Drosophila melanogaster: one gene and its partner. The protein of the gene in region 2 interacts with the protein of the main gene of each other region in a pairwise test. Each region holds a gene or a part of one and is shown on either strand. Other genes may lie near its edges. The genes, in order: BOD1 and CCT2.

Evidence for each region.
Region 1: the proteins of CCT2 (region 2) and BOD1 interact in a two-hybrid assay, tested with the Drosophila melanogaster proteins (one large-scale study listed by BioGRID).

What each region holds. Positions count from the first base shown.
Region 1 is NT_033777.3:27,936,922-27,943,570, reverse strand, and holds BOD1 (biorientation defective 1), read right to left. Parts: upstream 5,010-6,649; 5' UTR 4,877-5,009; coding exon 4,653-4,876; intron 4,595-4,652; coding exon 3,924-4,594; intron 3,865-3,923; coding exon 1,438-3,864; intron 1,137-1,437; coding exon of another isoform or gene 1,129-1,136; exon of another isoform or gene 987-1,128; coding exon 853-986; 3' UTR 793-852; downstream 1-792. Other genes in the region: NSD (nuclear receptor binding SET domain protein), read left to right, coding at 5,822-6,140, 6,234-6,649.
Region 2 is NC_004354.4:9,087,467-9,093,407, reverse strand, and holds CCT2 (chaperonin containing TCP1 subunit 2), read right to left. Parts: upstream 3,896-5,941; 5' UTR 3,813-3,895; coding exon 3,810-3,812; intron 2,921-3,809; coding exon 2,231-2,920; intron 2,179-2,230; exon of another isoform or gene 2,109-2,178; intron 1,999-2,108; coding exon 1,371-1,998; intron 1,299-1,370; coding exon 1,012-1,298; 3' UTR 582-1,011; downstream 1-581. Other genes in the region: CG6999 (uncharacterized protein), read right to left, coding at 4,163-4,569, 4,643-4,937; CG32706 (uncharacterized protein), read right to left, coding at 5,399-5,796, 5,870-5,941.

The DNA of each region.
Region 1 (6,649 bases), on a different chromosome or scaffold from region 2:
ATTCTTGTTAAAAGTATATGCTAATGATGATACTGTATCTATGTTACTTTGAAATGAGATAACCTTCTTGTAAAATACTATTACCTATGTATTACAACCTTTGATTTACAACAATTATATATATATTTTTTTTAAACAATTTTCAAATGATATACGCATATACATACATATATTTATGTTGATCGTTGTAAAGTAATCAAGAGCAAAAATGTAAAGCACACGCTCGCGCGGCAGAAGGAAAAATTCAATAATTTGTAATCAAATTACAGCCGAAATCTTCAAACTGAGATGTTACAAAATATAAGGAACAGCAGATACAGCAGAAAACAGCTCCCAGAGAACTACGTCTCCCCCAGACCTACAATGCCCCATAATCTACACCCGGTACTATAACTAACCAGCCCCATGTAGAGAGCCGTAGCCTAGCTATGTCCATTGTCCTTGCTCCACGCACTCGACTGTTTCGATCTATCATCACACATTATCCTCGTCTCAGTGCTAGAGTTCCACATCCTTGAGTAGCAGACGCAGTTGAGTGCCGGGGATCAAGGCTAGTGGATCGCCCAAAATATACAATAATGCATCATATTATTACGTTCACTGTTATTTTTGTTTATATATATGCATAATATATATGGATATGCTGCACCGGCGACTATTAAACTGTAAGGTGTAGCGCTAAATTACAATTTTATTGTTAAAGAATTCAAACGAAAAAAAAACAAGCGGAAGCAAAACCATTGGCAAGCGAAATGGCCCATTAAACGGATGAAAGAAACGAAGACTTGTTTTATGTCAAATGCATTAACAACAATTGCCTTTTATTGTTTCCGATAACAGGTTATCCGTTGGCTAGAGAATGGAGTCCAGGCCCCGGCGACGAGAGCGCTGCGACAGGATTGGACGGGGCTTGTAGAGATCATCGTTGGTGTACCGCTGCTGCTGGCAGAGCTTCTTGCTGAGTCGCCTGGCGGACAGGGCGTCTGCTGATAAAAACAAGCACTTTAGTCACACGCATTCACGGGAATCGCTCGAAGCATCAACAATCGGCGGGCAAAGGACAGAGAATCGCGCGGGAACCGCTTACCCAGCTCCATTGCGGTTTGGTTAGGACTACTAGTGGTGGCTTCATACAGCTACATATTATGTATATTAGTTAACAATGCGGATGCGTGTGGGGGAGAAAATAGAGGCGGTAAAGAAGAATATTGAGGATGAGCATGAGAACAGAGATGTATGTATGTAGATCACATTCGCAGGGTGGATCGATTTGTGTTAATTATAGACTTTATTATCAATTTTTACTTGATTTTCACTAAACGTTAAGACATACGACAATTCAATTGCATCGATCCACCCTTTGTGAGAGTTAGCAAAAGAGAGATTCGAGGAACAAATGCTACACCAAATGAAACTTAGCAATGATACAGTACGCACCATGCTCCTGCTTCTCCAGTGCCTCGTTCTCCTTCGAGTTTATGCTGGCGTCAGATGGTGTTGGCGATGACTTGGGCTCGTCCTGTCGCAGTCTCTTTGCCGGACTGCCGGCGGTGCTGCTGCTGCTCGGACTTCTAGGCTGCGGCGGTGTCGTTTCCCGCTCCACTCGATGCTGCTCCTGCATGCTGCTCCGTCTTCGCTTGGAGAGGCTGCGTCGCAAGGCACGTATATCCACTGCCTCCTCCTGTGTTCCATCCTCACTTAACCTGTTAAGCAAATTCTTTCGATCCTCTATCAGTTGATTGATGAGCTGCAGACGCGTCCTAAACTCGTCTGTGTTTTCTTCGAAGTGGGTCACAAAGTCGGCACTAAATTCGTCGCTTTGCTCATTCGAGATTGGGACTGGTGTGGCGGGTTTGTCAGCATCTTGCGGTGGATCCTCCACATCGCCGACTTGAGCAGGTTCGTCGACGCACTCTTCGGGAGGATTTTCCGGTTTGCTCTCCTCTTCTGACTTATTCTCTTCGACATTGGTCTCTACCTTTTCGTCTTCCAATGTATCCATGCTTTCCTTGGCTGGCAAATCGGGAACGGAGTCAGCTAAAGTTTGAGGTTCTACAGTTGGCACTTCATTCTGCGAAGCACACTCGTCTTGCCTTGCCTCCAATTCTGTTTTTTCCGGCTGATTATCCGCCTCTTTTCCGTCTATATCTTCGGGTTCATGCTTACTGCTCTCCGCTCTGTCATGCGATTGGGATCCAGCGGTCAGTTCAACAAAACTGCTCGTCGATTGCTGCAGGATGTCGCTCACGATGACAACACCGCTGACATTGTCGCAAGCACCATTGGTGCTGCCGTTGGAGTTTCCATTCGTGCCGTTAGCATTCTCCACGGGCGCATCTGATTTCATTGTAGCTGCTGAATCCTCCGGCTGGGAGTTCTTGGCCGGACCACCAGAACTTGGAGGCTTCCCCTCGTCGTTTGAGTCGGAACCCCGACGCTGCTTATACTTTTCTTTGCTCTCGCTATGATCATCGTGGATAGCCTTGTTCTCTGCACTGCCAGAAGTGTTTGATTTGTTACGATCACGATCGCGGCCTCGGTCGTGATCTTTTCTCCTTGACGACGACGAGGAACTGCTACTGCTGTGGTGGCTGCGACTTTGGCTGTCCTTTTCCCTTTCCTTATCCTTCTCCTTGCCTTTATCTCGTTCCGATCGCGAGGATGATGAACTGGACTTGTGTTTTTTGTGTGAGGAAGATTCGTGGCGTGATGAAGAAGTGGTTCCCGAGCGCTTGGATGACGACGACTCTCGATTACTCCGGCTAGATGAACTTGAGGAGCTCTTATCGTTCTTGGAGCTACTACTCTTATGCTTCGAGCTGGAGGAGTTCGATGAGGAGTGCTTCGAGCTGGAACTCGAGGAATGCTTGCTGTGCGATTTGTCGCGACTACGATCGCGGTCCCGATCTGTGCTCCTTCGCCGGTGTTTGTCATCTGAGTGCCTGTGGTGTCGCCGATCCTTTTCCTTTTCCTTATCCCTAGACTTCGAATGGCTTTTTGATTGCGAGGACGTGGATGTTGGCGACTCCGTGGACTCAGACGCTGTGCTAACAGCGTCTTTTGGTGCATCCAATCCAAGCTCTAGGGGTTTATCTTGCTTGTCTTCAGTTGTTGCTGGTTGCTCATCTTCTTTGACATCCGTGTTTACATTGTGTGGTTTATCCCGAGTTTCCGACTCCTTGGGTGTCACGGCCAGCTCTGTGATGAATCCATTACTACCTTTCGCCCTTCGGGGCGTTATAGCTGCCTCAGCTTTTGGTGGGGCTGGCGGAGGAGGAAGCTCGACTTTCGGTGGTGCTGGAGGAGGAGGTGGTTCAAGTTCTGTGGGTGCCGGTGGAGGAGGTGGTTCAACTTCAGCTGGTGCCGGTGGAGGAGGTGGTTCAACTTTAGTTGGTGCTGGTGGTGGTGGTGGCGGCGGTTCAACTGTAGGTGGTGCTGGTGGTGGTGGTGGCGGTGGCTCAACTGTAGGTGGTGCTGGGGGTGGCGGTGGCTTAATTGTTGGTGGTGCTGGTGGTGGCGGTGGCACAAGTGTTGGTGGTGCTGGTGGTGGCGGTGGCTCAATTGTATGTGGTGGAGGTGGATCAAAACGAGGTGACGCTGGTGGTTGGGGCCCTGGCGGCGACTCAACTCCTGGTGGTGCCGGCGGAGGAGGCTCTACTTTTGGCGAGGCTGGCCGCGGAGGAGGAGGCGGATTAACTTTCGGCGGTGCTGGCACTTGTACAGGCTCCGGTGCTATAGACTCAATACTGGCATTGTTGGCGTCGTCTATGTTTGCCTTCACCTCCGACATGATCTCATCCTCGATGGAAAGAATTTGGAGGCCTGTGCTAGTCGTCTCCGACACCGAGTTCTTTCGCTCAGTACCTGCACGAAAAAGAAATCGTAGAAGTTAAATAACCCATCGTGGCGCCCGGCAAACCCACCTTCGAAGGTAATGGCATCCTGTTTGATGTCGAAGTGAAGCTGTCGACCTTCGCTTCGGCCTGTTCCCGCACTAGCATCCCAAGAGTTTTCGCTGAACTTTGGCATTTGCGCTTCCTCGCAAATGTTCTCTGGCTCCCCACTGTTGTGAGCTGCTGTGTGCTGGTGGCTATCAACCATGGACTCCGTGGACGACGCCATGGTCAGGCGGCTGTCACTGGAAACCTGCGAAAGTTGCGACGCCTGGGAGACGCCGTTCACCGAATCCGAGTTATTCAACGAAACGTTGTTCAGCTCCTCCTTGATGGCAAGTGTTTTCCGCTCGCTCACTAGCTCGTAGGATGGCGAAGTGTCCTCGTCGTCTACACCGGGCGGAAGTTCGTCATCCCTCGACTCCGACTTGACGGTAGCCCGATCGGAGTCTGGACTTATCTGCTCCAGGTCCGTGGGCAGCAGACCAACCGTGGTCTCCACATTGAGCAGGCTGCTGCCGTTCAAGTGGGCACCAAATGGCGGCAAAGGCGGAGCTGACAGCATAGTGGGTCGCGCAGGTGGTGTGATGCCCAGGTACTTGTAGACAATGCTCTCGATCTTTGGCTCGAATATGGTAGCCACCTTGGGATTGACCACCTGGTCCACGATTTGGTCCACTCCCTTGTCCAGGACATCGGAGCTGAAACAGTCGATGTGATTACCCCAGGTTACCCAAGCCCCGCCAGAAGCATACTCACTCCATAAGGTGCTTGCGCAGCCTCTCTCGCAGCTGGACCTTGTTGGTCTCGGGCGTCCATTGCTGCTTGGCCAGAAAATCGTTGACCGCCGTCTCCACCTGGGTGCGCACATTCTGGTAGGCGGGCTTCGTGTCCACGTCCGCCAGGCAGCAGTTGAATCGGAATTCGTCGAAGACGCCCTGCGACTTCACCTCGGCAATCAGTGTCTTGATAAAGTCGTCCATGCTCCTTGGCCCTTGTTATTCGTGTGCTTTTGCTTGCCGCAACACCCGTGAGTGCCGAGGAAATCCAGGATAAACGTCGAGTTTGTCTTTACATGCGTTTACATGTATGTACATATGTTTACGCTAGGGATGGCCGCCCCACGTGAGTTTCGCCCTGATTGGATCCGGGCGTCGTGCGTGAGCGGTAGCTATGCCAACTTCTCAGTTTTACTAGCCAAATTTGACGAATTGCAGATACAGATACATTTTTACTTTTGAGTTATGAATGAAAGAATAATAAAGTATAGAAATATTTGTGCCACCGAGTTTTTACCTTTAAAGCCAAGTTGCATTTAATCAGCTATACATTAAGAACTTAAATGTTCATATTAATGTAAAATTCAGGTATTCACGTTGTTTTCGGTAAGGTGAAAGAATTGAGTTAAAGTTAAAATATTTAGTTTTGGAAAACAACAATACATGGCAGTATCTGTTAACTCCGAATAACTATTATAAAAACAATCTGTAACGAAGTCCCCTGGCCAGTGTAGTACCTCAGTCGTGGCTAAGGAACCTTTTCAAAAAATTTATATAGAAGGTTTAGAAACCTGTAGTTAGAAATTTGTATTGGATGACGTGCCTGAGAGCGAATAAAAGAACACCCCGCGGCGCTTATGATTTAGTTCAAAAATTATTATAAAAATTATTATTAATTATATAACTATACTATAAGTAAAAGAAAACACTTCGCCTCACTGTGCATTACGGTGCGAATCTTGGCTAAGTATAATCGATAGGAATGTGTGACGCCTATCTTTCAGCGATCGTATCGATGGATCGATAGCTACCGCGATGCCCACGGTTGCAGTCGAAGTTTTGGCGCAAGCGAAGCCTCTGTGTTCTTAGAAATTGTCGAATTAACGGTAGTGTTTAATTGACGAGAGCGCGATTAAACTGGACCGCAGAATGAAGCTGAGCACGGACGCGCACTCCGAGATCGAGGGCGACGCTGCCCACGGCAATGTGCTGTGCAACTCCGCGTCCGATTCCCTGACCGCCACCGACGAAGTGGCTGCGGGCAACGACGAGTCGGTGGCCACCGAAGGCGATGATGTCGAAATTCCGAGGGACACCAACAACAGCACTCCGGTTCGACTGCTGGACAAGCCCGGCCAAAACCCGGTGCAGAACGGCGCACAGCCCGCGGCGGAGGAGTCGGAGCTGGAGAGTCAGCGGCAGACGCCAGTCCAAAAACAGCAACAACAGCGTGTGTCCATGGTGAACAGTAAGTGTAACAATGGCGCAATATACCCCGCCGTATGCCGTCCATATGCTAATATATCTGCTTTTGTGTGTGCGCCTGTGTGTGCTGCTTTAGGGAAACGAGATCTTATCAACTTGCAGTCGGCGCTGAGCCCCAAATATATTGGCTATGCCAATGCCAACTCACCCACGCCGCTTTCCGATTCCGATGACACAATACGCACGACGAGGCGACGCGTTAACCAAGCGGCGGCTTTAAATAACAGCAGTGCTGGCGAGACCCTGGCCCATGATAATGCGTCACCAAGGACCCCCGGGGGAGGAGGAGGAGGTGGTGGAGATGATAGCGCTAATCAGCTGCTCAGCAAGACCTACATGAGCCCCATCGAGAAGCTGCTAATCAAAAACGGCGCTAGTTCGCCCAACAGCACCGGTTTCGAGGCGGGCTCCGAGGACCTGGGCATACGGCCAATCGTTCGCAAGCACGTAAAGCGCAAAATGAAAAGAGTGCCGAAGGCGAAAGTAACCCTC
Region 2 (5,941 bases):
TTTGCAAATTTTGATGCGAATTTACAAAAGATGCGAAAATTTGGACAAAAATTAATTTTCCTAAATCCTTCAAAATGTGACATTGGTCGTTAGCATTGGTAACTAGCTGCTCAAAACAGTTATTCTTTCATTTTTACGATCATTTTTAGCCAAGTTATGAGGAAAATTCCGTTTGAAAATATCAACATTTTGGCAAAATCCGTTTTTCCGAATTTCGGCCATCAAATAATCAGTTTTTTTGCCACAAAATTAAAAATAATTGTCTGAATATGGAATGTCATACTTCGTTGAGCTCGTAATTAAATTTCCAAACGAACTGAGCTAAAAAATGGCAATTATATTTTTTGGCCATTTTTTGTAAATTTTGATGATGTTACCCCTTACAAAAAATGAGAAATTTGACCAAAAAATTAATTTTCCCAAATCGGCTGAAAAGTGGCGTGGGTCGAAAACATTGGTTCTCCAGTGCTCAGAAATGTTACTCTTTTCGCTTTATGATCATTTTAAGCCAAGTTATGTTTAAAAAAAGCTCATAAAAATTCGGGAAATAATTGTGGTCCAAATAAGAAGGCAGTTTGTTTAGTTTTGTTAAGCATAAATATATGATTTATCATTTATTCCTTTTTTTTTTCTGTTTAATGGTCTTCAATTTGCGCACATCAAATGTTTACAACAATTGTATTCATTTACAAGTTCGTTTAGTTGTCGGTTTGATGGAGTTTTAGACATTTTTGAAATGTTTTGGTTTGATCGCAGCACTCATCCTCGAATCAAAAGCTCAGCTTGCAACATCATATCAATTTGTTTCACAATTAAGTAGAAGGATTACACGACAGGGACAAATTTAGCGAGAAATTGTGCGACTTTGAGAGTGGGACGTGTGATATAATTGCTAATGTGTTGTGTGTGGATTATTAGTGTAGTAAACAGAACGTGTAAGGTTAGCGATGATGTTAAACGAGAGTTCATAATTAAAAAAAATATGATCCTAGAACAAGAATACTTAAGCGCCTAGCAGTAGCCCCTGTCGGGAACGCGTCGGCGTGGAGCGCAACGGATGATGTTGTCCACGCGCAAGATCATCTCGGCAGCCTCCGAGGCGGACATCAGAACTTGGCGCTTAACGGCGAACGACTCGGTGATGCCCAGTTCACGGACATCGGCCACCTTGCCCAGCTCCATGTCCAGACCCAGAGTCTGTTTGCCCTGGGCGTGGCCGGCACGCAGCTCCGAAACCAGTTGGGCTGAATCGTAGCCAGCATTGTCGGCAATGGCCGTGGGCAGGGACAGCAGAGCGCCTGTAATACGAATAATAAAAGCATTTCATTAGGAGCCATCTCCAGCATATGATGTGGATTTCAGCGACTTACGGGCAAAGGCCTCGATAGCGATGGCCTCCTTGCCGGGTGTCTCGGCTGCCTTCTTCAGCACGGCGGTGGCCATTAGAGCCTCGGAGCAGCCGCCACCGAAAATGATGCGCGACTCCTTGACGGTGGCCGCCAGCACGCAGAGGGCGTCGTGCAGGGAACGATCAGCCTCGTCCAGAATCTGTTGGGTAGCACCGCGGATCACGATGGTGCAGGCCTCGCCCAGCTTAACGCCGCTAAAACGCAACAGCGTATCCTCGCCGATCATCACCTGTTCGATGACATCGCATTCGCCAAGCTTCACCAGCGAGGGATTCTCAAAGGTGGAGACAATCTCGCCGCCGGTGCAATACGCCAGACGCTCGATGCCATCGAAATCGGCATGCTCGATGGACATTACACGGGCATCGGCAAACAGCTGCTCCGGATAGTTGTAGATCAATTGCCGGTTGATGAACACGTTGCACTTGTGCTTCAGGATCTTGTCCACCTTTTCCTTCATCTTCTCCTTCTCGGCCATCTCCAGGTCGGCGATCTTGGCCAGCGAATCGACCTTGATGCTGCTGCCGAACACCTTAATCTTATCGGTGTCCATGGGCGTGTTGGCAATCAGGATTCTGGCATTCTCAATCTGCGATGGAGAAGAGCACCCATGTATGAGATCATGAGATTCTTTTACTTGGTCTTGAAAGACTCACTTGCACGCGCAACATTTCCACGTTGATGAGGCTGGCTGTCCAACAAACTCGTCAAAATGGCTGTGATATGAAGTCAAATCCACATAGCTCACAGTCATTTTGACGCGTTAATAGACAGCAGAGGTAGACGATGTTTAGCACGATGGAACTGGAAACATTACTTACACGCTGTGGCTGGTGCACGCCGGGCTTCTTGTCCAGCAGGAAGCCCTCGTCCAGGAACGAGTCTCCCAGTGTGCCGCCCGATTTCTTGATGATCTGTATGGACTTGAGCTCGCCGGAGCCCTTCAGACGCATCACAGCATCCACCGCCAGATTGGCGAAGAAGTCTTTGTGCTGGTGCAGGATCTTCGAGGAGAGCGTGGTGCGGGCAATGTTCAGCAGGTCGTTGCGGAACTTCTCGTCACTGGACGAGTTGTCCTGAGCGGCGGCGGTGAGCGCCTCCAGTGCCACCTGGGTGGCCTGACGCCAGCCAGAGACGATGATCTGTGGGTGCAGCTTCTGTTCGACTAGTTTCTCCGCCTCGCGCAGCAGTTCCGATGCCAGAACGGTGACCGAGGTGGTGCCATCGCCCACTTCCTCGTCCTGCACACGCGACATATCGACCAGAATCTTGGCGGCCGGATTGTCTACACCGACGGCACGCAGAATGGTGGCACCATCGTTGGTCACCTCAACATGACCGGCGTTGCGTCCGGTGGCCACCAGGATCTTGTCCATACCCTTCGGACCCAGCGTGCTCTTTACCAGATCACCAATGGCGATGGCACCAATGAACGAGGACAGACGGGCCATCTCGGCCTTCTCCTCCTGCGCCTCATTCTTGAGCACGCGCACGGGATTCAAGGACATCTCCTGCAAGACAAAACGCGATCAATTGGTGTGAATCATTTCGATTGATTGTATAAATTTTCTAAGAAGGGCACATTTCTTGAGACTTAATTTAATTACAAAAATGGCATGACTTTTTTTTAGCGTAGATCTTATGGAGGATTAATCATCAGAAGCAAGTAAAGCTAATTCATAATTACTATTCATGCAGGAAATTATATTATAGCTTTTTTTGCGAAATAAAATTTTTTTTTTAACATTTAATAATTTAGCATAATGAAAAAGTGATATGATGCCAAGATGACATTGCAAAACACCATTATGATATTCTCATCGACAGATCAAGAATGCTATCTTGACAATGGCAGGCGGCTGCCCAATATGTTGCAATTTCTGGCGAGGATTGTCTGTTGGCATGGCCAAATCCGCAGTCACTGCAAACCAGATGCGTTTGTGATGCGAAAATATTCAAAATGTATATGTATTCTATGTCAGATTGTTATGGTTTTTCGCTCTGTGCAGCCATATCGCCTCGACCTAACCCCAAAAAGTGGCGGACGAGGGAGAGCGGCGCCGAGTGATTCATCGGCAGCAAAAACGGCGTGGAATGCATCTCGAAGGTTCTCAGCCAGCTGCCCGAGCCGATCCCGGCCAGCAATCTAGTGATAGCTCCAATTCACCCAGATCCCGTGGACAGCAGGAGAAGGTTCTGGAAGTGGCAGGCGAAATCGGAGTCCATGGCTCACGTGCAAGCCGCCTGTCAAAATGGCTTGCGCTTCGTTCACACACACACCCGGCAAATGAAAACGCCGAATTGGCCACAATTATCAATGAAAAGTGGGCGAATTCACGCAACGCCAATAGCCCGCACCGTAAACTACTCGAATAATATAGTTGTTACTTTTAAATTTACCATTTTCTCTGCGTAATTAGTCGATTTGTGATCACAGAATTTTCAAATACCACACGGGCGCAACAAAGCGACAAAGAAAATGGAGACAGTCGATGGCTGTTATCGATAACGCGCGGCTATCGGGTAGAAATACCGACAACGGAAAGGTGCTAACGCCTGCATGAACTTAAATACCAAAAATAGTGTTGACACAAACCAGCACTCGAAAGTTTTGCAGTTATCGATATGCAATGCAGGGGCGCTTATTTCAAATAATTTTGCGCGCCTAAATATTAAAAGATTTTGATTTGATTTACTTTATTGAAGTATATTTGCAGTCAGGTAGACATTGGAAGCAAAGGTCTAGCGTGAACTCAGGCAGACTTCTTCAATTTCTTGGCAGCCATCTCCGCTTTCTTGGCAGCCATCTCCGCATTCCTGGTAGCCATCTCCGCTTCCTTGACCTTCTTCATCTTCTTCATCTTCTTCACTTGCTTCTTGAAATACTCCATCTGGTCGGGATCGTACCAGAAGGTGGCCCGCTTGCGGGCCTGCGACCATACGCGAACTTTGCAAACCGCCAGCTCGTAGTCCATGCGATCGGTTAGATAGTACCACTTGAAGCGTGGCAGGAACTTCATTTTCCACAGCAAGCCACGGAATCGGGACGACTTGCCATCGGTTATAGGCTTATTGTTCAGCTCTAGAGCGATTTTTTTGGCCCCACTTTTCGAAATGAACTCCACCCAGCCCTTACGCATGTTCTTCTTTGTCTTGAAACCTAAAGTAATTGAGATAAAAGTTTATACTGGGTAATCAGTGGGTCATTTGTGCATGCCACTTGGTCCACTCACTTGACAGCGTTTCCGGCTGCACGTAAACTCTGCCGACGACGCTGTGCAAGTTCATGATTTCCTTCAGGCAGTCCCCGTCCATGTCCTTGGGTATGTTGGATATTAAGATGACGCCTACCTTGTGCATCTTCTCGCGTTTCTTCTCGGGGGCCCAGGAATTGAAGGTGGCTTTGAAATTGGCCAGCTCCTTTTTATCGTCATTTGAGGGATTTGCTATCCCATTTGCAGACTCACCTTCCTTTGTCTGCGGCTTACCCCAGCGCGCCTCGTCTAGCTTAGTCTCCTCCACTTTCATGGAAGTGGACTTGCGCTTTGGCTTTGATGTATTAATTATTTTTTTCATTGTAGCTTTCGTTTTAGCTGGATCGAATATATTTTGTAATGTACGCAATCAGGTATGACAGTTGACAGGCGATGTCAGTTGACGTTTTTATCGAAGAGCTATCGATGTGTTGGTACCCTTTCATTAGAAAAGCATATCGCTTTAAAAACACTTTGTAACAGAACATTTGATTTACTCAGCCCTATTTTAATCGAGAAATCTTAACCATCCCTGTGCGTTACAGTGGCCTCCTTCAGCTTGAGTAGCTGAAGTAGCATTAACACGCACACACAATCGGCGAAATTATCGATATGCAGGGGCCCTAATTTCAAATAATTTTGCGCGCCTAATTATTTAAAGATTTTGATTTGATTTACTTAATTGAAGTATATTTGCAGTCAGGTAGACATTGGAAGCAAAGGTCTAGCGTGAACTCAGGCAGACTTCTTCAATTTCTTGGCAGCCATCTCCGCTTTCTTGGCAGCCATCTCCGCATTCCTGGTAGCCATCTCCGCTTTCTTGACCTTCTTCATCTTCTTCACTTGCTTCTTGAAATACTCCATCTGGTCGGGATCGTACAAGAAGGTGGCCCGCTTGCGGGCCTGCGACCATACGCGAACTTTGCAAACCGCCAGCTCGTAGTCCATGCGATCGGTTAGATAGTACCACTTGAAGCGTGGCAGGAACTTCATTTTCCACAGCAAGCCACGGAATCGGGACGACTTGCCATCGGTTATAGGCTTATTGTTCAGCTCTAGAGCGATTTTTTTGGCCCCACTTTTCGAAATGAACTCCACCCAGCCCTTACGCATGTTCTTCTTTGTCTTGAAACCTAAAGTAATTGAGATAAAAGTTTATACTGGGTAATCAGTGGGTCATTTGTGCATGCCACTTGGTCCACTCACTTGACAGCGTTTCCGGCTGCACGTAAACTCTGCCGACGACGCTGTGCAAGTTCATGATTTCCTTCAGGCAGT